Oryctolagus cuniculus: one gene and its partners. The protein of the gene in region 7 purifies or fractionates together with the protein of the main gene of each other region. This does not show direct contact. Links are inferred from orthologs where the notes say so. Each region holds a gene or a part of one and is shown on either strand. Other genes may lie near its edges. The genes, in order: MTA1, MTA3, ZNF687, MTA2, CHD4, HDAC1 and ZMYND8.

Region 1 (3,500 bases), on a different chromosome or scaffold from region 7:
GTGGCCAGGCGGCCCCGCATGGCCGCAGCAGGGCCCGCTGCAGCTGCAGGACACCCTCGGGGCCGGGCTGCATGCAGGCGGCCTGCGCAGGTTCCGCCCGGGGCAGGCGCGAGGATGCGTCCTCACAGAGGGCAGCTCTTACCTTCCTCGCCGCTGTCGGCGCCCGGTCCGGCTTTATGGCAGACTGACAAGGCTATGCAACAGACAGACAGCGCCCAGGCGGCAGTGTCAGCGCCGCGGCCACTCTCTCCCTGCCCGGGCCTGACCCAGGGCTGCGTGGCCAGGGGGCAGGGCGGACACGGGGGCCACAGGCCTCCTAGTGGGCCCCAGCCCACCCCAGTGCCCCAGCCCCTTCGGGCAGAGCCCTGACAAGCTGTCACTAAGAACCCCTCCTGTACACACTCCCACCTCCCCAGCTGGGAGCGAGACCTCCAGAGCCTGCCCCTGGACACCCAGGCTGCTGGCCCCTGCCCTGCACTAAACAACAGAATGCCCTCTGGAGGCCACGGTCATGTCTCTGTCCCTCTCCCCAATCAGTGCAGCCTGATGGCTCTCTGCTGCCCCTAGTGGTGGCTGCAGGAAGTCCTAACACCTTGCCCAGCTCAGGGAAAAACAAGACTTTTGCCATTTCAATCAATCTGGATAATCTGGGGCTGTTCCAGGCAGGCCTGGCCCATACTCAGGAGCTCTGCTGAGACCCTCCCCACGCTACAGCAGCCCCCATCCCAGCAGTCCAGGGCCCCTGAGTGTGCTAAGGATGGCACCCGGGTCTGTACACCCCCAGCAAGCCTCACACCACCTCCCCATGCTGGGTGCAGACTGGAGACTGGGACCCCACACCCAGCACCAGCCCAGGAAACAGCCACACTACAGCCTCAGGAGGGAGGAGCCCTCCCCAGGTCCTGCCTGGCCATGGGAATGCCCAGTCCCTCTCCTGGGCTCCTGTGTCACCGTGCCTTGCTTCAGAGGGAGGAGGGAAGGCTCCGACCACAACCTGACCGAGAGGCTATCGGGGACGAGGCCTGCAGGGGTCCGGCCTCCTGCCTGAGGCCTGCGCTGGGCACTGAGCAGGGGTCAAGGATCTCCGTTCAAACCTTCATGCCCCCCCCCCCACAAGCCCAGGATGAGAGTCCTACACAGACCCTGCCTCTTGCGACAGCTTTCCAAGGAAACAGCCGCAGCTGGGAAACCTGCCTCTCTGGCAACCAGAGCTGCACGGCCTGGGGCTCCCTCCAGCCCTGACCAGCTTCCAGGGGGAGCCACGGTACCCTCAGTCCACCCAGGCCCTCTACCCACCAGGACGCACAGGCTGCCATGGCTAGCCCAGCCCTGGCCAGCTGCCCATGGGGAGGGACAGGCCCCGGCAGGAGCAGGAGCCACTGTGCCAGCCCCGGGAGCCACACTGCTGGGCCGTGCAGCTCACGGGCTGGGGGACGAAGGGCAGCGTCCGGCTTCCCCCACTCCTCAGGCTCCCCACCTCTGGGGGACCACCTACAAGCCCAACTCTCCACGAAGCCAGACCCAGCCCTGGGCCAAACGGATGCTTCCCCGGAAGCTTGCAGCCTGTGGGGCTCGGCCAAGAGCTTGCTCCGCCCTTCCCCCACTGGGGGCCTGCCCAGGACACAGAGCCCAGCAGCCCCACAACCTCCTCCCTGAGCCGCCAGCAGAGGCTCACTCACAACCAGCGCCAGAGACGCCGGCTGGGCCCACGGCACGGAGCGCCTCACCTCACCCCACGCCCAAGAAAGCCCTGCCCAACCCTCCTGCAAGGCCACCCGGGCACGCGCAGGTCCCACCCCAGTGACAGAACCAAGCGGCCCCGGACAGCCTTCAGCAGGAAAGGCCCGCTGTGGCCTGCGGCATGGTCCGCAGACGAGGGCCTCAGGCCGCCCTGCTCCCGGCCACGCACCCCCAGCAGGGGCAACTCCACCAGTCCAGCACCTGTGGCAGGTGACACGCGGGAGCCTCCCCATGCCCCTTCGGGGCTCACCAGAATGAACCCCAAGAGGGACACCGCTCTCAGGACGACAGGAGGGACCCTCTCAGCAAATGCAAAGAGCCAGTGAGTCCAGTCCAGGCTGAGCCTGGCCCCCCTGCCACGGGCGGAGCCTGGGGACCTTCCGGAGGCCCCAAAAGGAGCAGCCCGGCTCCAGCCCACGACAGCAGGGACTCAGTGAGCGCAGAAGGGCCAGCGGGGCGACAGCTCACGAGTGATCAGCCAGGGCTCCGAGGGCAGACAGAGAGGAGAGAACAGAAGAAGCAGAAGGCGGCCTCCCGTGGCCGCGGCGGAGCCCTGGGACCCCCAGCCCTCCCTGCCAGGCCAGGGGCCGCCGGACTCACTGGCATGCTTGTCGGCCAGGGCGATGAGCGTGCTGGAGATGTCCCGCCTGCGGTAGAAGCACACCACCTTGGCCTCCACGTTCCCGCTGGCCGTCTGCAACAGCAAGCAGAGGTCAGGAGCACCGCCCCTCCTGCAGGCCCCAGGCGTGACCCCAGGGGCGGGCACAGCACACACGCAGCAGACCCCCGAGGCACCTTGAGGCCCCTGGGGTCGGGGACCCCGGCAGGGAGAGAACCCCAGGGAGCTGATGCACCAAGGACTCGCCCCCCGCCCGGGGCCCAGGGCAGAACACGAGGGGCGGGGGGGTCACACCAGCTCCAGGAGCCCCGCCCCAGCAGCCTGCCAACCCCACCCACCTTGGCCCGGCTCGGCCCTGGAAAGCCTCAGAGGCGACTCTGAACAGCACTGGCCCTCCAGCCAGGCCACGTGGGCCAAGCAGGTGCCAGGACAGGCACAGGCTGAAGGGGACCCGCAGCAGCCCAGCCCCTCGCCGTCTGTGTGCGATGAGGGCCACACGAGCTGAGCACCCACAGCTCTGATGGCCCTAAACCCATCAGCCACGCTTCTGCTGTGCCACCGGGCTCAGCTCACCCTTACAACGCTTGGACACCAGCCACCAGAGTGGAGCACAAAAGGTTTTTTTAAAAAATGGTGCACAAGGTGGGGGCAGTGCTGTGGTGTAGCAGGTAGAGCTGCCACCTGCTGTGTCGGCATCCCAGTGGGCGCCGGTTCCAGCTCTCTGCTATGGCCTGGGGCCAGCGCTGCAGCTCAGCAGGTTAATGCCCTGGCCTGAAGCACTGGCAACCCATATGGGCGCCGGTTCTAATCCCAGCTGCTCCTCTTCCAATTCAGCTCCCTACTATGGCCTGGGAGAGCAGAAAATGGCCCAGGTACTTGGGCCCCTGCACCCACATGGGAGACCCAGAAGAAGCTCCTGGCTCCTGGCTTCGGATCGCCGCAGCTCCAGCTGTTGTGGCCATCTGGGGAGTGAATCAGTGGATGGAAGACCTTTTTCTCTGTCTCTACCTCTCTCTGTAACTGTCTTTCAAATAAATAAATCTTTAAAAAAAAAAAAAAAAGAAGATGGCCCAAGTGCTTGGGCCTCTGCATCCACGTGGGAGATCTGGAAGAAGCTCTTGGCTCCTGGCTTCGGATCAGC
Region 2 (3,500 bases), on a different chromosome or scaffold from region 7:
AACCAAAAGGGGGGAAAAACACAGAGAAAGAGAGGGAAAGAGAGGATGGTCGGAAGCACAACACATGAGGTTAAGAATTTAAAAACGTCTTACATTCTGCCCTAATGGCAGCATAATTAATAGCAACAAATGGCCGTCTTGCTGCCTGCCGCAACCGGAGAGTGTTTTTGCAGACCTGACGTGCAAACTTTGTGAAATACGTAGTATGAAGGAAGAAAGCTTGGCGCGTCTTCACTGCGGACTTGGGACTGCCAGTGTTCCGGACTGGCATGCCCTGTGTGGCCTGGCGGGACATGTGACTTCTGACGCGGGGGTCCTGCCAAGTCAGAAACCAACAAACGTTAGCAGAGCTCGGCAAAGACATTACTGTTTACATCATGCTCTAAAAACAGCACAATTTTCAAAGCTCCCGCCACAGTTTCTGTAACTTACTATTCCACCCCTATGAGACAGAATTGGAAAGTGTGCACACTGGGGAAGGAGGTGGGGAGCAGAGAAGGGAATGGGGTTGGGGGTACAATTCTGTACTTTTGTGCAACAAACCAAAATCACATGTTGCCAAGGGAGCGAGGCTTGCTTAGTTTTGTTTTCTAATATCAAGGAGTGCTGAGACTCTGTGAGCATTGGACAACAACAGGTGCCCTCTGGTAGACACAGGCTTAACATCTTCAATCCAGAAGGATTTTATAAAGTCATGCATCAACTATTGTTGATAAACTGAGTCCATTTCTTATTGTCCCTCCACAATAGACCAGGGAGGAAGAAAATGCTTAATTTACATTTATTACTTTATGTAATAAGACATGCTTAATAGTATCTAAAGATTACACACTGTTTTCAAAAGCAGTTAAAATAAACATTTAATTTGTAAACTCTCGGGTTGTGTTGACACCTCCCACATACAGTATTCTTTTGTCTGAGTAATCTCCCAAGACCATTATTTTGAATCCCTGGGGAGAAAATTATTTTTTCCTGCTCTTCTTTCCACACCCACCCTGAATATAGTAGTGCTATGTTCAGTTATGAAAACAGCTTTGCTCATTATGACATTATCCTGTATTTTATTTCTGCTTCCAGGGAATGATCTGATCACTGAAAAGCATGACATTTTCAACACTAGAACCCACTGCTGCTCGTGTACCTCTGAGGTTGGGCTGGGAGATAGCTTCTCTTCTTCTGACTGGGTGGGCATTTTCAGGCCTCCATATTTTTTCCAATAAAGCCAACAAGTTGCACACAATCTACACTGCATGTTAGGTGGGCCCCAAGAATACCACTGGTGAGACTGTGTAGCTACAGATGAGAGAAAAGTAAGAGGAAAAAAAAAAAGGATGCCATGTAATTTGTAACATCAGTATAAATATAATCAAATATTTCAAAAACATCCCAAAGCCATTTTCAGTTTATAGGATTATTTTTCTTCCCCTAACTTATAAGCCAAGTATGAAAGTACAACACATACACATGTATCTTTCATTAAATCATTTATCCTTATTATAAATCAAGCACTTGTGGCGCATATTAAGAGAGGCTATTAGGGGCCGCTGCTGTGGCATAGTGGGTATGTACAGTATCTAAGTATCAGCACCGGTTCAAGTCATGACTGCTCCACTTCCAATCCAGCTCCCTATGAATGCGCCTGGGAAAGCGGCAGAAGATGGCCCAAGTCCTTGGGCCCCTGCACCCATGTGGAATATTCAGGCTCCTGGCTTCGGACCAGCCTAGCTCTAGCCATTGCAGCCATTTGGGGAGTGAACCAGCAGGTGAAAGACCTCTCTCTCTCTCTCTCTCTCTCTCTCTCTGCTTTTGCCTCTCTTTAACTCTGCCTTTCAAATAAATAAATAAATAAATCTTAAAAAAAAAAAAAAAAAGGGGGGGGCCGGTGCTGTGGTGCAGCGGGTTAACACCCTGGCCTGAAGCACCGGCATCCCATATGGACACCGGCTCTAGTCCCAGCTGTTCCACTTCTATTCCAGCTCTCTGCTGTGCCCTGGGAAAGCAGCAGACGATGGCCCAAATCCTTGGGCCCCTGCACCCACGTGGGAGCTCCAGAAGAAGTTCCTGGCTCCTGGGTTTGGATCGGCGCAGCTCCGGCCGTTGCAGCCAATAGGGGAGTGAACCAGTGGGTAGAAGCCCTCTCTGTCTCAACCTCTCTCTGTAACTCTGTCTTTCAAATAAATAAAATAATCTTAGAGAGAGAGAGAGAGAGAGAGAGAGACTATTAGGTGAGGGATCCTATATTTTACATTGTGCCTCTGAGGGAGTTTTTTTTGTTTCACTAATTCAAATATTTTTTGGTGTACATTTCTGGAATAAGTTCTCAGAAAGATAATGTGTTTATTACTAGTGCTTAAAACCTAAGTCACAGTTTATAAGCCTACGGTTCATAAACCATGCTTGGGTTTATTTAAGGTACTCAGAAAGGCCCCACTAAGAAGGTTAGGAACCTAACAGAAACAGGTCTCTGTTTTCCAACCCTTTATTTTAATCAATAGATAAAATCCTTATGTTATGATTTCTCCTTCTAAAAACAGATTCTTGTTCAAAACTATAAATCTGTATCAAATGAGTACACACAACATGATTTTAAGACCCAAACATGTTGACTTATCACATGGCTGAACAACACTGCAAGTCTGTGTAAATTTTATCTTGCAATTTAAATTATGCCATGTTAACATTTAAGAAACCTGTATATCCAGGATGGATATGAAGTTTAAGACAGAAAACATTGATGTTTCAACATTAGGTCGAAGAGGAGCAGGAAAATGATTCTAGTGCTATAAATCTGCCTTGGCACATTCTTTTCTGATCTGTAATAAGTCATCTTCTTCAGATCACAATGCTCAAACTGTGTATATTAAGATGCCAACTGCAGGACGGCGCCGCGGCTCACTAGGCTAATCCTCTGCCTACGGCGCTGCTACCCAGAGTTCTAGTCCTGGTTGGGGTGCTGGATTCTGTCCCGGTTGCTCCTCTTCCAGTCCAGCTCTCTGCTGTGGCCCGGGAAGGCAGTGGAGGATGGCCCAGGTCCTTGGGCCCCTGGCTTTGGATCACCGCAGCTCCAGCCGTTGTGGCCATTTGGGGATTGAACCATCGGGTGGAAAAGCTCTCTTTCTGTGTAACTCTAACTTTCAAATAAATAAATAAATCTTTAATAAACAAACAAACAGGGGCCGGCGCCGTGGCTGGCTCACTTGGCTAATCCCCCACCTGTGGCACCGGCATCACATATGGGTTTCGGGTTCTAGTCTTGGTTGCTCCTATCCAGTCCAGCTCTCTGCTGTGGCCCGAGAGGGCAGTGGAGGATGGCCCAAGTGCTTGGGCCCCTGCACCCACATGGGACACCAGGAAGAAGCACCTGGCTCCTGGCTTCGGATTGGTGCAGTGCCGGCCGTAGCGGCCATTTGGGTTGTGAACCAACAGAAGGAAGACCTTTCTCTCTGTCTCTCTCTCTCACTGTCTATAACTCCACCTGTTAAATAAAAAAATAATAATAA
Region 3 (2,813 bases), on a different chromosome or scaffold from region 7:
TCCTGTGGTTGGCCTTTGGCCATGCTGCTGCCCAACTCTGTCCCCTCCCAGGGACTGACCCCAGGCCGAGCTCTTTCACAGCGGCTCTGCTGTGGGGTCCCGCACTTGCTGAGCTGCCCCGAAGCGGGGGTGAGGAAGGGAATCACCACAACCCCCCAGCGTATTGAGGGTATCGGCCTAGCTGTGGTTCCTTACCCTGGTCCCTTCCCCACACCCAGGGAAATGGCTCTCAATTTTTTATTTTTAACTCTTGTTTGAAATAAAGTCCTTAGTTAGCCATCTGTGTCATCCAAGTTGGGTCTTTTGGGGCAGGAGGGTAATGAGTGAACAGATGCCCTGGCGTCCAGGAGACAAAAGGCACCACACCCGGGAGGGGGACTCCTTTTCCCTGGCTGTCCTGGCCAGAGCCACCTCTTCCCGGAAAAGGGCCTCCCCAGTTCTCACTCGCAGCCCCCCCTGGCCAGTCCACATTGTCCAAGTCACAAAAAGAGGAGACTGAATGGGGATTAAACCACGAGCAGTTTTAATGGTCTGGTTCTCTCCCTCCTGTTTTCTCCCACTGTTAGTATTATTATTACTACAAGAATAAAGGATTCCTGAGAGCCTGTCCCCTCCTCTCCCTGGGCCCCCCCGACAGGACTCATCCCCACCGACCCCCCTCCCTGGAATTTCTGCGGGGGAAAAAAAAAGACAAGTGAAAGGCACTGCAGGAGTGGGGGGCTTGAGTGCCAGGCGCGGGGGAGGGTGCTGGGGCCGGGCCTGGCCCAGAGAAGGAAGGCTACAGTCCATGCCTGGGAGTCCCCTGACAGCCCTCCCCTGGGTCCTCCCTGTGCCTGTCAGCAGATGCACCGCAGTCCCAGCCGCCCAGCTCCAGTTCCACACTGGGCATCTGCAGCAGGAGCAGAATTAGTGTCGGGTTCAGAAGGGAGGAATGGAGGGCCACTCTACTAGGACCTGTGGGCCGAACCCCAAGGGGTGTGCGGGAGAGGGGGGCTTTGCAAACAACTATAATCCTCAAAAGCTTTCTCCAGGGGAGAGGAAATGAACAAAATGTGAATGTTAATGAAACATCCCAGTCCAGGGACCAAGAGGCAGCAGCAGTGAAACCCAGGCTCCTGGGAAAGACGGAGGGGCTGACTAGTCCCAGGCTCGGGGCTTAGTTGTCCCCACTGCCCCCCTGCCGTGCCCTGATGAAGGCCATGCCATGTGTGCGGAAATGGGTCTTGAGGTTGAGCGGGCTGTCGCAGCTCTTGCCGCAGACCTTGCAGGTCAGCGGGCCTCCAGAGGCAGCCAGGGGTGAGTCTCCACCCTCTGGGTCAGACCTCGCCGGAGGGGGGGCCTCTTCCTCCCCATCCCCCAGCCCCAGGGCACTGGCTCTACCCACACCCCGTCTCTTCTTGTGGCTGATGAACCGGTGCCGGCTCAGGGAGCCAGGGGAGGCGAAGCACAGGCCGCAGTCGAGGCACTGCTGGGCACCGCCGTCCACCCTCAACCCCACCAGGAGGCTCTGTTCCGTTGAGCCACTGCTCCGGTAGCGCAGGGGGCCATGGTCTCCTGACCCAGGGCCACCCCTGGGGGACTTGGCCGGAGGTGTTGTGCTGTCAGGCTCCTCACTGCACGAGTCCGAAGACGGGCGGCGTTTCCGTCCCGGCCCCTGGGGAAGAGCAGGAGAGACGGCCTCACCATCACCCGCACTGTCCCTGTGGTCTCCCACCTCCGAGTCCCTAAGAGCAGGCCAAGCCTCTGCCTACCTGGGCTCTGGCACCAGGGCCCCGGGCCAAGGCATTCCCTCGGCCAGGGGACTGGGCCCCGAGCTGCAAGCCGTGCCGGACCTGGACGTGCTTCTCCAGGATCAGGCGGCTGCTGAAGGTGCGCTTTCCCTCTGTGCAATACCTGGAAGGCCAAGAGTGAGCAGGGTGGCAGCGGGCACAGCCCGCACGCAGTCAGGTCCCACGGCTCCTGAGGAAGGAGCCACCGGAGCAGAGGGAGGTCTCAAATTGAAGTCTGCTTCAACCAGAGGCGACTGAGGGGGTACTTCAGGGGTGAGGGGCAGGGCTGGGGCTGGGCAGGGGGTACCTGCAAGGATAAACTCTCTTGATGCCCTCGTGGTTGACCCTGACATGACGCCTCAGGCTGGGGGCAGAGCAGAAGGAGCGCTCACACAGGCGGCAGGGAAACTTCTTCACCGACTAGGAGAGCAGGGGGGCCCCTCAGTGCCTGGCCCATCCCAAAGCCGCCCTCCGGCCCACCTCGCCACCCGCCCACTCACCTTGCCATGCTCCTTCTTCATGTGCGCCACGTACTCGTCCCGCTCAGGGAACCAGGAGTGACACAGGCCGCAGGTCCAGCCTCCGGGCCCCCCGCCCCCGCCCTTGATGCCTTTGCCCCCTAGCTCCCGCCGGGGCCGCTTGGTCGAGCGGGGGGGCTCGGGGGAGCTAGGCGGTTCCTCCTCTTCGGAAGATGAAGACGACTCCTCGGTAGCAGCAGTGGCGGTGGCGGCAGCCGCCCCTCCCTGAGACACGGCCAGCTCCTCAGGCTCAGTCTTGGGGGTCAGAGGGGCACCCCCAGTCCCTTTCCCTGCAGTCTCCTCCCCCACGCGCCCAGACTGATGAGTGTTCTGTAGGAGGCAGACAAGGGGGAGGGCTGCTGTGGGGGCAGGCCTGCCTTTGCCGGCCCCCTCCCCCACCGAGGGTTGTGGGGCCCTAGTCCAAGTCGGCTGGTCCAGGGCCCTCACCCCACCCTTGTACCTTGAGATGTTCCAGCATGGTCCTTTTTTGAGCAAAGAGCAGAGGACAAGACGGACACTTAAAGAC
Region 4 (3,173 bases), on a different chromosome or scaffold from region 7:
CCACCTGGCTCCCCAACACTGTCAATCACCCCCTGCCAATCAAACCATCATCATATGAACAGCTGCATAATATGGTCTAAAGCTCCCATCAGTATGCATATTGCTGGCCCTTGCCTGTACCCCATCAATCCTTACTGTGGTGCCCCGAGCAGCCCCCTCAAGCTGGGTTGGGGTCTTCAGTCCCCCATACTTCTTCCAGTAGATCCAACAGGAAGCACAGAGCCGGCACTGCATGTTGGGTGGGCCCCAGGCATACCACTGGGCAGACTGTGTGGCTGTAAGGACCCAGAGAGGAGGTCAGGGACAAAACACGCTACCCAAGTCCCTGAGGTTCTTGGGCCACAGCGGGCCACAGCAGGCCTCCCAGCCACCCCCCACACCCTGTCCCCCCTGGAACTCACTGTGGCAGCTCTCACAAGTCAAGCCCTTCTGGAATCCAGCCCCATTCATACCAGGTTTTGAACCCACAGAAATAATCTGGTTAGGGTTTGGCTTAGTGCTAAAGAGGAAAACAGGAGAAAGAGAAATAGTTAAGGAAAAGAATCCATTGCTGCCCTGCCTCCGTAATTTGACCCTGGCTTCTGCCCACCCCAATTACCAAGGAAACACAGCTGGGGAAAGAGAGGGAAACTGCTACCCTGCTCACCACACTTACTAGGTGGGGATGTAGACCTGTTTCAATTTGCTGTCCGCTTCAGCAGCTTTCAATCTTTTCTGTGGAAAGGGAAAAAAGACAAAAAAGAGAAGAATCAGTGCATCTCAACAGGGAGGACACAACAGGTGGCTTCCAGCCCAGCCTCCCAACCCCAGACGATACCTGCTGAATATACCGGTCTGTGGTTTTCCACATATAATAAAATTGGACTATGCTGGCGAGTGACTTCCAGGGTAGCTAAGGAGAGTGAGAGAAGAAAGATGAGCTGACATGTAGCTCCAGGGCCTGGTACATTCATTCATTCCCTTACCTCTCCCACCTCTCTGCCTATACCCATCTACTTACAAAATCCTGGCGAATATCATTGAAATCCTTCCCATACTTCTCAAGGGCCTCCTCAAATAACATGGCCTCAGAGGCAGACCATTCCTCCATCTCATCCCGACACAGCACTGGGCCCCCCTGGGGTACCAGGGTAGACATGGCCTTAGCTAGGTCATAGCCATTCCTTTGCAATGTGTCCATGGCGTGAAACTACAGGGAAGGGGGAAAACAAGGCTCAGGACCTGAAGCCTGGGTACCAGTTCGCGCTGCTCTGTAAGCACTCCCACTCCCTCTGAGACACCCTCCTCCCCTGTCCCCAGGCTCTGCGCATCCCCACAAAACCCCCGCCTGCCCGACTACCCACCAACTGCTGCTCACCAGGGTGATGTCTCGGGAGGCGGCAGCTGCACTCATGTGCAAGCTTGGCTGCCGAATGGAGCTGCTGCAATCCAGCGCTCGTGCAAAGGTCCCCACAGCTCTAAGGGAGAGAGGAGAAGTTAAGACAAAAGAAAAAGAAAAGTCGAATGGGCTGAGGAAATAAGCCAGAAGAAGGAAATCACCCATGCCAAAGATAAAAAAGAGAAATAAAGAACAAGAATTTCTAAGAATGGGTAGGACTCAAAGCCACATACACACTTCCCCCAGCCCATCTGCCCCATCCACCCACCCCTCACCGGGCCACCACGAGAAACTGATCAATCTGCCGGTCTGTGAGAGGGTTGTCCGGGTCCCAGACCTTCATCTCCATCTTCTGTTGGTTCCGATTATCAGATTCCCCTAGGGAAGACAGCAATGGCAGTATGATCAGGACAACGAAAGGGAAAATAACTGGTGTCTTAAAATTCATAATGGCACTTCCTTTCCTCTTCTCCTGCTTGGATTCTATCAGCCACCCCAACTCTCGGATTTCTTGTCCCAGCTGTGCCCATCCTTGCCTTTTAAGTTCCTAAGATCCCTTTCTGTCAGGACCCCTGCAGAGAACCTTGCAGACTGTACTGTATACTCGGCACACCTTTTTGTTTTAAGATTCTATTTATTTACTTAGAAGGCAGAGTGACAGAGAGAGCAAGAGATATTATCTTCCATCTGCTGGTTCACTCGAGTCCCAAATGGTTGCAACAGACAGGTAGGAGCCAGGCAGGAGCCAGGCAGGAGCCAGGAGCCAGGAACTCCATCCTGGTCTCCCACATGAATGGCAGGGGCCCAGGTGCTTGGGTCATCTTCCTCTGCCTTCCCAGGTACATTAGCAGGAAGCTGGACTGGAAGAAGAGCAGCCAGGACTCAAACCTGTACTCTGATAACAGGATGCCAGGTTTGCAAGTGCCAGCCCCTCCAAGGTACCCCATCTGCAGACACTATGGCAACCAAGAGCCCACTGGAGTTAAATAACCAGTAGTCATGCAGTCTCTCTTGTTACTTACCCTCTGCCAGACGATCTGGGATCTCAGCTTGGTATTTGCAACCAACTCTGATTTCCCCCTGATCAGCTAGGAGTGTCTTCTGCACAGGGTCAAACACCAGCGAGTAAAAAAAGCAGTCCTGGAGATGTGGAGACAGAAGGTAAGCAGGGCACCAATCCAGACAGGCGGGGCAATGGAGTACCCTCAGTTCCCAGGACAGGCAGTCTGCCAACCCCATACCTCATCACTGTCCTATTTCCCTCTTGTCTTGTGGGAGCATTACCCTTTCCCTCCCTCTTCTCCGAACGCCTCTTTCTCACCTCCTTTTCCAGGTACTGGCTCAAGATATCTGTTTCGTTCAGGAGGGTTACACTGCACTTCCCCCTAGAGGACAGGGCCAAAAACCTTAGGTGAGTCCTCCTGCTTTCCACGGCGTTTCCAGCACACCACCCTCCTCTCCCTCTCCTAAGAGGTGCACACAGGCCACACTGGGCCCCATCATCCTGTACCGTATGTGGGTAGCTGGCAACGACTCAAACTGCCGTGAGAGGAAAAGCTCCCGGTGCTTCAGCTGATGTCGCTGCTGCTCTGATACCCCAGGCTGCTTAGATTCCTCCTCAAACTCCCCTGCAAGGTTAAGGAGGAAGAAACCAAGTCAAACACAAATCCAGAAAGTCACTACCTAGGGAACTCTTACCCAGGGAAAATATTTCCTGGCTCAGCTGTTTTTCTCACATTCTCCCTGCATCTACCTTCTGTTCTCTTATCCCACCAGCATTTCTCTATGCCCTGTT
Region 5 (4,034 bases), on a different chromosome or scaffold from region 7:
CAGAGATTTGGGAAAGGGGCAGGAATGGGGTGTGGCAAGTGGAAAAACTGGGTCATGCTGCAGCTTGGGGCAGAGTTCACCCTGGAAGCCTGCACAACTGCTAGCAATTTGGGGGACAGTCCCAGACCAAGGGCCCAATGGGAGGCCAAGATGCAGAACCAACCGTGGCCAGACAGCACCACTACTCCTCCCAGCACAGAAAAGATAGGCTCTCCTCACCTCGCTGCCACCCACCCCCAGCGCCCAGCCCCCACCCTGGGCAAAGGCAAACCCCGCTCTGCACAGCAATGAACCTCAAGCCTAAGTTTCTGACCCAATACCGGGAAACCCAGTAACAAGACTGACCCCTCTCCTAAATGACCTGCTCGATGTGAAGAATTCCAACTCAGAAAATGCCAGATACGAAAGCATCTCTCCCGGACCACCTCAACTTCCAGCTGCAGCTGAGAGAGAAGGCAGAAGTGGAAAACGATTGATGGGAAATAAAACAGGACCAGTGGGCTCCACAGTCAGAAAAGTAGAAGCAGAGAGGATGAAACATGGCCCTCAAGGGAAAAAAGAGGTCAAGAAAACAAGCAGGTGCATTAGATAGGGGCTCTGAGAGGACGAGGGAGACAGCGCCGAGGTCCATGACATCAGCCCTCATCTGAGGGCAGAGAAGGGCTATTCCAATTGGGCAGGCTGGTTATAACCATACGGGTTTGGCCAGTTCACGGAGCCACCCCAAAACACAGATAGCGCAACCCCTAACACACCCACACAAACATTAGACACTGCCAGCACAAACCCCAGGCTACATCACAGGCAAAAAGCAGCCTCTAGGGAAAAAAGCCAGCCTCATGGCCACTGGGCAGAGAAGAGAGGGGCCCTAACTCCTCCTGCCCCCTCATGGGAGGCTCCTCAGGCTACTAAATCCCCCCCCAAGGCCCCATCACAGCCCCACTCAAAACATTCCAGCAATTTGCCAGAAGCACTGTAGATCCTGCTAGGGAGCGAGATTCAAACTTCACACAGTTGAAACAGCACAGAAAACCGGTAACTGATCAGAAGCTAAAAATAATCAGATAGCAAGCAACCAACACTCCCTCTGTCTTTCCCACAGCAGTGACCACAGGCTCCTCCGACTGCACCCTCCAACGCCTCCACTACCCCCAAAGAGCCCCCCCCCCCCGCAGGGTCCCAGCGACCTGCGGTGCTCCCCAGACCCACGCAAGGGAACGCCTGCCAGTCGGGAGAGCTCCCTCAGCCGGGAACTGCACGGCATTCCTCCAGACAAGCGGGTGCAGCAAGCTCGCATCTGGGCCCGTGGTGCCCGGGAGGCGCATGGCTGCCACCCCCCTCACACAAGAGCTCCTCAAAGGGAACCACTCCCTTCGGATGCCCTTCCACCTCGGGCTCTGCACAGCCAGCCACAACGCCCTGCCTTCGCAGTCACTAGGGAGGGCACAAAGGCCTCCTTCCTGCCCCCGGGCCCCTGGGAAGGTGTTACCTGGGTGGGGTGGGGGCAGGCTGTTGTTCAAAAGTGCATCCATATCCTCCTCCTCACTGCCCGCTGAGCAGGGGGACGGTGAGCCCAGGCCCGACGCCATCCCCTTCCGCTGCTCCCGGCCAGGGAATCGGCCCAGCTGCTCCTGCCTGCGGCCTGGGGCCCTCTACACTGGCCCGAGTCACTGTGCGGGGGAGGGGGGAGAAAGAGAACAGTCAGTGACGCGCACCGGCCCCCTCCCCCACCCCCACCCGTTCTTTCCGCCACCCCCCCAACCCCAGCCACCCCGGCAGGGCACCCGAACCACTCAGGCTGAACTTAGTTCCACACTCCTCGGGGGCAGCCCGGAAGCCGGCGCCCCAACAAGCGCCCCCGCGAAGAGAGGCAGCGACGCCCCCGAGGACAGACTGGTGCAGGCGTGGGGAGGGGAGCAGCCGGCCCGGCCCAAGCAGGGTGTGACGGGGGAGGGGGTCCGAGTGACCGCGGCGCGGGCTGGGGGGGCGGCGAGGCGGCCGGCGGCGAGGCGCTCGGGGACACAAGGTCACTTGGGGGTGGGGGGGCGCCTCCCTGCGCCCTGGGAGGGGCCAGTTCCCAGACAGGGCAGCTCTCCAAGGGCTGTCCTCTGGGACAACTCAGGTTCTGCTCCGGAGCCGCGGGGACCAGGGGGGCGTGGAGGCTCGGGTGCGCCGGGGGGTGGGGGGGTCCGGAGGCAGGGACGTGGGGGGCAGGAGAGCGCCCACCCGGAAGGGGGCCGGGCCACGTGTCCCGGGGGGCAAGTGAGCAAAGGGCGAGGGGGCGGGCGCCGGGCATTGTGGGAGACCCAGCCCGAGCCGGGGGTCGCGGGGAGCGGGGCGGGGGTGGGGGGAAGCCAGGCACCCTGCAGGGAAGGGAAGGGAAGAGTCGGCCCCTCAGGGCAGGGGGCGGTCCGCGGGTCTGAGGAGCCCGAGGAAGGAGCGGCTGAGGGGATGGCTCTCGGGGTTTGTCGGGCTGAGGGGAGCGTCCCTGCGGAAAACCGGCACTCTCCTCACCCTCGAGCCGCCGCAGGTCGTGCTGGGTCCGGCCGGTTGTCACTCCCGCTCCGGCTCCTCCTCGCCGCGGCCGAAGGGGGGAAAATGGCTCCGGCTCCGGCGTCGCCTCTTAAAGGGCCCGAAACACCGGCCGGGAAATCCCACCGCACAGGCCCCGCCCCCCCACGGACAGCCCATAATAACCTCAACCAACTCCAACCCCCCCTCCACTACCGCCACCCTCCTCCCTAGGTCTCCCGGGCAACCCCCGCCCCCTCGTCGCTCAGGCAACCATTGGCCACGCCCCCTCAGAGCGCGCGAGCGCGCGCGCGTCACCCGGGCAACCGCCCACCTCCTGGCCATCCCATAATACACACGGACACCCCACATACACTCACACACACCGATTTCCCCCCCACACTCCTTATACATATATGCGGTGGGGGGGCGGCTGACATAATACTACCGGCCTTTTGCAACTAACCCTCTCCTCTCTCTGACATCCCATAATAACCATCCTTTGCCAACTTCTTCACTCTTGGCTCTAATGCTAACATCCCATAATAATTCATCACCTCTCCCTCCCCAGGGCCATCCCATAATAAGCACCCCTCCCAGTACTTCAGCCTCATATCCCATAATACTCATCCCCACCCCCCCACAGACATCCCATAATAACCACCCTTCATCCACCCCCAGCTTGATATCCCATAATAATCAGAAACTCACCCCCCACACACACATACTACAACGGACACTCGGCCTCCTCCCACACACATCCCATAATAATCAGTCTCCCACTTTCTATACTGACATCCCATAATAACCAACCCCCTAGAGCTGCCCTCAGTCCCAGAAGGCTAGGGTCTAGAATGCTTACAACTCCACGCCCAGCCTTCATGCTCTCCTTCTAGCTCCACTCCCCCCCTGTCAAAAAGATATCCCATAATGATCAGCAGCCCCACTGTCACCCCCCCAGATGAACATCTAACCTTTCCTAACACTGCAAAAACATCCCATAATAATTTTACTCCCCCACCCACACCCTGACATCCCATAATTTCAAGGAACCTGTGGTCAAGCAGACATACCATAATACTCCCAGCACAACCCAGTGTCACATCCCATAATGCTCCATCTCCACTCAGCCAGGCATCCCATAATACTCCTGTGCCTACCTCCCCCACCTGCAGAAGCTGTCAGTCTGTTCTAACACCCAGAGCTGGGAGAGACAGGCTACCCACACTGCCCTGTACCCGCCCCCACTTGCACACACCTTATTCCCTTCCTCGGCCAGAGCAGTATCCTGGCATAAACAGTTTCTTGATGTCTAGATGTCTAAGACCCTATTTTCCCTCATCCGGTCATTTCCAGACACTCAGCAGCTGAGCACCACCAACCTAGGGCTCCACCCCAGTCTCACCAAAATCCAAGTATTTTCCAGATGTTTACTTCCAGCTCATAGTTTTGAGTAAGACTAACCAGATACCATGCTGATCAGATGAAACATTTACATAAAGTTTAATTTGCCCCAGAACACC
Region 6 (3,500 bases), on a different chromosome or scaffold from region 7:
CTTTCAAATAAATAAGTAAATCATAAAAAAAAAAGGGGGGGGGGAGAAAGACAACAGGTCTAGCATTAGGGAAGAGAGATGATACTAGGTTTTTCCTTTAAAAGTTTATGATAGGGGCTGGCACCATGGCACAGTGGGTAAAGCTGCTGTCTGTGGAGCCGTCATCCCATATGGGCGCCAGTTCAATCCACTTTTTTTTTTTTTTTTTTTTTGACAGGCAGTTAGACAGTGAGAGAGAGACAAAGAGAAAGGTCTTCCTTCTGTTGGTTACTCCCCAAATGGCCGTTATGGCCGGCGTGCTGCGCCGATCCAAAGCCAGGAGCCAGGTGCTTCTTCCTGGTCTCCCATGTGGGTGCAGGGCCCAAGCACTTGGGCCATCCTCCCCTGCACTCCTGGGCCACAGCAGAGAGCTGGACTGGAAGAGGAGCAACCGAGGACAGAACCCAGGGTACTGGTGCCGCAGGTGGAGGATTAGCCTAGTGAGCCGCAGCGCCGGCCTCAATCCACTTCTGATCCAGCTCCCAGCTAATGCGCTTGGGAAAGCAGGATGGGTAGCCCAAGTGTTTGGGCCCCTGCACCCATGTGGGAGACCAGGAAGAAGCTCTTGGCTCCTGGCTTCAGACTGGCTTAGCTACGCTGTTGCAGCCATTCGGAGGTAAACCAATGGATAGAAGATCTCTCTCTCTCTCTGTCTCTCCCTCTCTCTGTCCATAACTCTGCCTTTCTGTCTTTCAAATAAATGAATAAATCTTAAAAAAAAAAAAAAGTTTATAAGAACACCACAGGGAAATTCACCTCCCATAAGGAAGTTACTACTGGTTGCTTCCCAAAGAGCCATCCTGTTCCTTCTTCCTTGGTAACAAAATGTACCCAGCCCTAGGAATAGAATCATGATTAGCCTAGGCCAGCTCTGGTAATTCTATCCGTCTACACTGGTGAGTGGTCTCAGGAATGAGATGATGGGAGGTAAGGGGGAGTGTATTGGGAAGCTCCTGGGGAGTTTTTCTCCTTGATAGAAAGAGCTAGGCGGCTCCCCAGAGTTCCTGAAAACCTCTGCTGCCTTGTATGCTTTCTTCCCCACCTGTTCTTCACACCTGATAAAGCACTGTGGTCCCAAGGTCTGCTCGCCCTGTCTACCTTCCCCAGTTGGCTCCACCAGCTCCAGAGACACGACAAAGCCATCTGGGACAGAAGACTCATCTCCTTTCAGTCTCTGGAATGGTGAGAAGGATGCTGCTGTTGCTAGGTTACTCAAACTGTCAGTACAGCCTTTAACAGCAGGCACCACGCCATAAAGCAACATGGGCCCCCAGCCCCTCTTTATTTTCTCACTTGGACTCTAGCAACAGGCTCCTAAGTGGCCTACCTGCTTGTAAAATACATGCCTATCTATTCTTATATCTTTTATTTAAAACCTTTCACTTTTCCCCCACCACCTCCAGAACAGATTAAATTGGGAACCACCGAACCACATTTGGTCCGCACGTGTATTGATGTGTTTTATATACAAACATTTAAAACAAAAACCCTGTGCCAACATTTTAAACCGAGGAGGTTTTGCATACTAATTTGGATTTCCAGCTTCTTAAAATCTGGAAGACCAGGTAGAATCAAGTGGAGCTGAGACTGGTGGTTAGACAGAAGCCTACACTCTCTCGTAACCACAGACTTGGCAACTTGTCCAACACGATCCCCAGTCACTCCTTTTTTAGCCACTGGATTTCCGACCCTGGCCTACAAGAGTGGTTTAGCACAGCACATCCAACGCTGGCTGACCTCTCCAGCTCTACGCCCTGCCTCACGTCTGTGAATTCACATTGTATCCCTACACATAAAAACGGATTTTTCGGCCGGCGCCGCGGCTCACTAGGCTAATCCTCCGCCTAGCGGCGCCGGCACACCGGGTTCTAGTCCCGGTTGGGGCGCCGGATTCTGTCCCGGTTGCCCCTCTTCCAGGCCAGCCCTCTGCTGTGGCCCGGGAGTGCAGTGGAGGATGGCCCAGGTGCTTGGGCCCTGCACCCCATGGGAGACCAGGAAAAGCACCTGGCTCCTGGCTCCTGCCATCGGATCAGCACGGTGCGCCGGCCACATCGCGCTGGCCGCGGCGGCCATTGGAGGGTGAACCAACGGCAAAGGAAGACCTTTCTCTCTGTCTCTCTCTCTCACTGTCCACTCTGCCTGTCAAAAAAAACAAAACAAAAAAAAAAAAAAAAAAAACGGATTTTTCCTCAAATACCTCAGCCTTTTTGCATATATAATATGCATATGCATATACTGCATATATTCTTCCCCCTACCAGTCCCCTCCTGAACTCAAGGATAATTTTTTGTAAGATTTATTTATTTATTTCAAAGTCAGAGCTCTTCCATCTGCTGGTTCACCCCCCAGATGGCTGCAATGGCCAGGGCTGGGCCAGGCTGAAGCCAGGAGCCAGGAGCTTCATCTGGGTCTCCTACTTGATGGCAGGGACTCAAGCACTTGGGCCATGTTTAGCTGCTTTTCTCAGGACATTAGCAGGGAGCTGGGTCAGAAGTGGAGCAGGGGCCGGCACCGTGGCATAGCAGGTAAAGCTGCCGCCTGCAGTGCCAGCATCCATATGGGATGCTGGTTCAAGTCCCGGCTGCTCCATTTTCAATCCATCTGTCTGCTATGGCCTGGAAAGCAGTAGAAGATAGACCCAAGTGCTTGGGCCCTTGAAACCACATGGGAGACCCAGAAGAAGCTCCAGGCTTCTGGCTTCAGATTGGCCCAGCTCCAGCCATTGCAGCCATTTTGGGAGTGATCCAAAAGACAGAAGACCTCTCTCTGTCTCTCTCTGTCTCTGTCTCTCTCTGTCTCTGTAACTCTACCTTTCAAATAAATAAGTAAATCTTAAAAATAAATAAACAAACAAGTAGAGCAGCCAAGACATGAACCAGCACCCATATGGGATGCCAGCTTGGCAGGGAGTGGCTTTACCCACTACACAACACCAGCCCCTCCAGGCTAAATTCTATTCAATCTTTAAAATTTCTCATATATCACTTCCTAGAATCAATTCAAGCCCCCTTTCCTCCTTCCTTCCTCATTATCTCTGCATCTTGCACATTTTCTAAACTGTTGCTCTTACACACTGCAGTATGATTTATTTATATGGGGGTCTCCTGCAGCTGGGAATTGAATACAAGTGCTCCGAAGTGGAACACAAGCATCTTAACTGATAGGCCAATGCCCACATTTGCTTAATGAGTGCATGGTTTAGAAAATCAGATAGTAAATGGCATTTGGGGGACCAGAGCTGATGAGGTAACAGAGGGGAACACTCGCAGTAAGTAACTCACATAGATTTCCATTTTCCGGTAGAGACCATAGTTGAGCAGCAAGTTGTGAGTCATGCGGATCCGGTGAGGCTTCATTGGATGGCCTTGTCCATAGTAGTAATTCCCAACATCACCTGAAGAACAGGGAGAGTTCTGATGACCGTTAGACACATACTCCCAGGAGAACCCAGGAATTTTTAC
Region 7 (3,500 bases):
GTCTCCCCCGTCTGTATGTTGCTTGCCGACCCCTGGTCTAGGTACCCCTTGCTGACCTCAGAAATGGACTACGACGCCTCTCCTGACACCTTCCTATGTGTGACCCCCAATTCCAACAGACCCCACACCTCCCAGGCATCACCCACCCCACCCCTCTGTGACCCACCTGCCCTCCCACAACTGCCTGGTGCAGGGTTAACTATTTATCACTACCACCAAAAAGGAGATGGATAAAGCTTGCCACAAACAAGGTGAACTGTACATCAACACAGACAACAGGTGCAGGATTAAGCTCCACAGAGGCCCCATGGCAGGTCTGCGCTCGGGAGACAGCATGAGACGCCGCGACTCCACAGCCTCCGAGAGGGCTGGAGGGAAGTGGGCGAGCGGCACCTCTAACGGGTGGTGCGGTGGTACCGAATGCCAGCTCCAGGGCCCCCCCACACCTGCTGACCTGACGTCCACCCTGGCACACCTCCCCCAGCCCCAGGGTTCTTCCTCTGACACCCAGGACACAGAGGACCGGGGGCTCCAGGGGTCCACCTGGAGCGCATCCTCACAGGACAAGATGCTGGAGCGGAGGCGACAGTGAGATGACCCCTGTAGGACGGACCCAAGCTGGAGAAAGCCCCGCCTGGCCGGGAAGGGAGGACGGCCCAACAGAACAAAAGGAATCCAGACGTCTCCGAAAACCGCCCTGGACAGCCCAGCCTAGGAAGTGACCCGCGAAGAGAGGCTGTTACAGCAAAGCAGCCTCTGCCCAGGCACCCAGCTGGACCCAACGCGGGTGCTGGGACCTCAGGGAAGCCCCACTGACAGCTGGGCCACGTCCCTGCGGGCAGAGGGACAGCCTGGGGCCAAGCACATGCCAGAGTGAACCCGGAGCCTTCCGCACAGACAAAGCTCCCGGTGGTCCACAGTAAATGCACCACGTGCGGCCGGCCGACGCCGATGGGCCCAGGGACCTGCCTGAAGGCTGACTCGCCCAGCTGCCCCCGACCCACCCGTGGCATCTCGCAGGACCTGGAGCAGTAGGAAAACCGCTGCCATCAACCCTGTCCCTCCGTGGCGCACAGTGCCCGGTGCCCACGGTCAGCGGCGGGGAATGACCTACCTGTGCCTTGGTTGGTGCCTAGGAGAATGGAGGAGGGTGTGTCTCTGGAGCCAGAAAGGTCGAGGGTCTGGAAACACAGAGAGAGAAGGATGGACCCAGGCCGCGGGGCCAGCGGGCCGCTGGGGGCACTCACACCACCCCGAGGCGACCCAGCGCCCGGGCCTGGCGTGGTCACGCACCTCGTGCTCTGCCCCCAGCGTGAAGGAACGGTCGAGAGCACAGACGGGGAGCACCCTGAGGGTCTCTGATCTAGAACATTCCCCACCTTCCCATTCTCCAGACCTTCCCCATTCCCAAGGAAGAAGCCGCTGACTTCCACATCACACCACAGACGTGTTCCATGATGGAGCCTCACGGGCAGGGCTAGCAAAGAAACCAAAGGGCTTTACTGACAGCCCAGTGATTCATTCATTCCTAACGCCAAGAAATAAATGCAAAAGGATAAACGTGGGAAAGATGATCAGTGCTCGCCCTGAAACAGCCTTGGCTCATGACTAAGGCTGTTGCGGCCATCTGGGGAGTGAACCAGCAGATGGAAGACCTGTCTCCTCTCCCCTCTAATAATTAAACACACACACACACACACACACACACACAACTCCATCACTGCCCCAGACGGACAAGCACGAGGCTTCCAGGGCTGGCAGGCATGGCCGGGGTGGGGGGGGAGAGCTGGGGTCACGGGCCCAAGGCCAGGGCCCTCACCGAGCTGCTGTCTTTGCTCTTCTCGGCGGACGCCTCCTTCTCTTTGGGGGTGCTGGGCGTCTCCGGGGCGGCCGCCTGGGTGCTGGCGGAGCTCCCCTGGGTTGACTTGCTGACGGTTTCCGTGTTCACCTCGGCGTCAGCTTCCTGCTGCGGGGCAGTAGCTGGGAGGAAGAAGAGAGGAGCCACACGGGGACTGAGTATGGCGGACTGGGGCCCTGCGTGGAGCCCTGCTCCAGCCCACGCGGCCCGCGGCCCAGCACCAACTCTGACCCCACCCCGTCTGCAAAGGCAGCTGCCGCCCGCCCAGCCCAGCCTGGGACTGGAGCAGGAGGGCAGGCCCGAAGTGGGGGGCTCCCCAGAGGTGTCCAGAGCTGGGGCAATTCCGAACAGTGTGCATCCCACGTTTTATTAAACCACCCGGCAATGACAGAGTGCCCCTAGCTGGAGGCAGTGTGTGACCAGAGGGGTCTCATTCTAGGTTCAGACCTGCCTTAGCCCCAGGTGGGAAAGCAATGCTTGGGAGGAGCAGAGCAGAGGCAGGACCCTGGGCAAGCACAGGGCGCCGGAGGGAGATCTGCAGAGAGCAGGTGTCCCGTGCCTCAAAAGTGGAATAACCAAGGCCATCTGGGCCAACAGGGACACAGCGAGGGGCTGCTCGGGCGCGCTGGAGAACTCAGGGACAACTGGCCACCACAGCAGGGGGGACTGCAAGTCGCTGCAGGGAAGCCAGGTCCCTAGGGAAGGTTACAGCTCACTTTGCCTTTCAAATAAACAAATCTTTAAAAAAATAAAAATAAAAGGCACACAGCAGTGCGCTCCTGTACTGCCCTTGACAAAATCCCAGAGGTCTGTCGAGAGCAAGAATCAGAGAAATCCGGAAACAGTTCTGCTGGCTGCAGCCACGCCCACCCGTGCCCAGGCTGTCGGTGGCTGCTTCTGGGCTGCCAGGGCAGGGGTGACCAGCGGTGATGGGGGCCACACAGTCCCCAAAGCCCAAAATATTCACGGGGGCCTTCCCCGAGAATGGCTGCCAATCCCTGGTCTCCAGCCTCTCAAACCCGAGTCATCCACAAATCACCTCTGCAGGGGTTGCCTGACGCGAGCTCGTATGACTGATACCACACGTCAGCTCTCGGTGCGCAGGGCCCCGTGACACGTCCCAGAGCCCACGGACGCGCAAGCCCCTTCCATGCAACGGCAAAGTATTTGCGCGGCATCTGCACATGCCTCCTGCACACCAGACCCCTGTAACATCCCAATACGATGGAAACGCTACAGAAACAGAGTCGCAGTGCATCGTTTGGCGAGTATGGACATGGGGTGTTGGGGGTGGGGTACGCTCACATCCCTACAAATGCTATTTCTTTCTTGGAACATTTTCTGTCCCAGGCTGGGACCCACAGAAACAGAGGGCCACCCGGACCGCTCACAAAGTCTTCACAACGGAGACTTTTAATTCTAAGCACACAAACCTACTATCACATGCAATGGAAAATCTGCTTTTAAAATTCCGACAAATTCTAACAGTCTCCCGCTGCAGGCCCAGGCCACCATCTAAAGCTCAGGTCCCTCCCGGCCACAACTGCAGCGTCTCTGGCCGAGATGGCTGTGCTGGGGGAGGCGACCTTGTGCACTGCCGTCGCTCAGGGGCTTCCGGGGCCCACGTGGAGACAGACAGATG

Evidence for each region.
Region 1: the proteins of ZMYND8 (region 7) and MTA1 purify together in Homo sapiens (affinity purification with mass spectrometry; 3 studies listed by BioGRID and IntAct, with this or other methods). This does not show direct contact. The link is inferred for Oryctolagus cuniculus from reciprocal best matches to the Homo sapiens genes ZMYND8 and MTA1.
Region 2: the proteins of ZMYND8 (region 7) and MTA3 purify together in Homo sapiens (affinity purification with mass spectrometry, with the first as the bait; 3 studies listed by BioGRID). This does not show direct contact. The link is inferred for Oryctolagus cuniculus from reciprocal best matches to the Homo sapiens genes ZMYND8 and MTA3.
Region 3: the proteins of ZMYND8 (region 7) and ZNF687 purify together in Homo sapiens (affinity purification with mass spectrometry; 4 studies listed by BioGRID and IntAct, with this or other methods). This does not show direct contact. The link is inferred for Oryctolagus cuniculus from reciprocal best matches to the Homo sapiens genes ZMYND8 and ZNF687.
Region 4: the proteins of ZMYND8 (region 7) and MTA2 purify together in Homo sapiens (affinity purification with mass spectrometry; 3 studies listed by BioGRID and IntAct, with this or other methods). This does not show direct contact. The link is inferred for Oryctolagus cuniculus from reciprocal best matches to the Homo sapiens genes ZMYND8 and MTA2.
Region 5: the proteins of ZMYND8 (region 7) and CHD4 purify together in Homo sapiens (affinity purification with mass spectrometry; 7 studies listed by BioGRID and IntAct, with this or other methods). This does not show direct contact. The link is inferred for Oryctolagus cuniculus from reciprocal best matches to the Homo sapiens genes ZMYND8 and CHD4.
Region 6: the proteins of ZMYND8 (region 7) and HDAC1 purify together in Homo sapiens (affinity purification with mass spectrometry; 7 studies listed by BioGRID and IntAct, with this or other methods). This does not show direct contact. The link is inferred for Oryctolagus cuniculus from reciprocal best matches to the Homo sapiens genes ZMYND8 and HDAC1.

The regions. Positions count from the first base shown.
Region 1 is NC_091451.1:47,286,007-47,289,506, reverse strand, and holds part of MTA1 (metastasis-associated protein MTA1), read right to left. Parts: intron 2,435-3,500; coding exon 2,341-2,434; intron 194-2,340; coding exon 143-193; intron 1-142. UniProt on the Homo sapiens protein: Transcriptional coregulator which can act as both a transcriptional corepressor and coactivator. Acts as a component of the histone deacetylase NuRD complex which participates in the remodeling of chromatin.
Region 2 is NC_091433.1:159,917,043-159,920,542, forward strand, and holds part of MTA3 (metastasis-associated protein MTA3), read right to left. Parts: intron 1,294-3,500; coding exon 1,142-1,293; intron 317-1,141; coding exon 94-316; intron 1-93. UniProt on the Homo sapiens protein: Acts as a component of the histone deacetylase NuRD complex which participates in the remodeling of chromatin.
Region 3 is NC_091438.1:46,810,594-46,813,406, forward strand, and holds the end of ZNF687 (zinc finger protein 687), read right to left. Parts: coding exon 2,748-2,813; intron 2,618-2,747; coding exon 2,270-2,617; intron 2,190-2,269; coding exon 2,077-2,189; intron 1,894-2,076; coding exon 1,752-1,893; intron 1,655-1,751; coding exon 1,157-1,654; 3' UTR 501-1,156; downstream 1-500. UniProt on the Homo sapiens protein: May be involved in transcriptional regulation.
Region 4 is NC_091432.1:8,957,400-8,960,572, reverse strand, and holds part of MTA2 (metastasis-associated protein MTA2), read right to left. Parts: intron 3,007-3,173; coding exon 2,889-3,006; intron 2,764-2,888; coding exon 2,700-2,763; intron 2,519-2,699; coding exon 2,401-2,518; intron 1,757-2,400; coding exon 1,654-1,756; intron 1,458-1,653; coding exon 1,358-1,457; intron 1,190-1,357; coding exon 1,001-1,189; intron 893-1,000; coding exon 818-892; intron 715-817; coding exon 656-714; intron 500-655; coding exon 402-499; intron 276-401; coding exon 136-275; intron 1-135. UniProt on the Homo sapiens protein: May function as a transcriptional coregulator. Acts as a component of the histone deacetylase NuRD complex which participates in the remodeling of chromatin.
Region 5 is NC_091440.1:102,900,495-102,904,528, reverse strand, and holds the start of CHD4 (chromodomain-helicase-DNA-binding protein 4), read right to left. Parts: upstream 2,801-4,034; 5' UTR 2,515-2,800; intron 2,030-2,514; exon of another isoform or gene 1,805-2,029; intron 1,671-1,804; 5' UTR 1,590-1,670; coding exon 1,490-1,589; intron 1-1,489. UniProt on the Homo sapiens protein: ATP-dependent chromatin-remodeling factor that binds and distorts nucleosomal DNA. Acts as a component of the histone deacetylase NuRD complex which participates in the remodeling of chromatin.
Region 6 is NC_091438.1:140,171,729-140,175,228, forward strand, and holds part of HDAC1 (histone deacetylase 1), read right to left. Parts: intron 3,434-3,500; coding exon 3,321-3,433; intron 1-3,320. UniProt on the Homo sapiens protein: Histone deacetylase that catalyzes the deacetylation of lysine residues on the N-terminal part of the core histones (H2A, H2B, H3 and H4).
Region 7 is NC_091442.1:12,527,391-12,530,890, reverse strand, and holds part of ZMYND8 (MYND-type zinc finger-containing chromatin reader ZMYND8), read right to left. Parts: intron 1,981-3,500; coding exon 1,820-1,980; intron 1,182-1,819; coding exon 1,115-1,181; intron 1-1,114. UniProt on the Homo sapiens protein: Chromatin reader that recognizes dual histone modifications such as histone H3.1 dimethylated at 'Lys-36' and histone H4 acetylated at 'Lys-16' (H3.1K36me2-H4K16ac) and histone H3 methylated at 'Lys-4' and histone H4 acetylated at 'Lys-14' (H3K4me1-H3K14ac).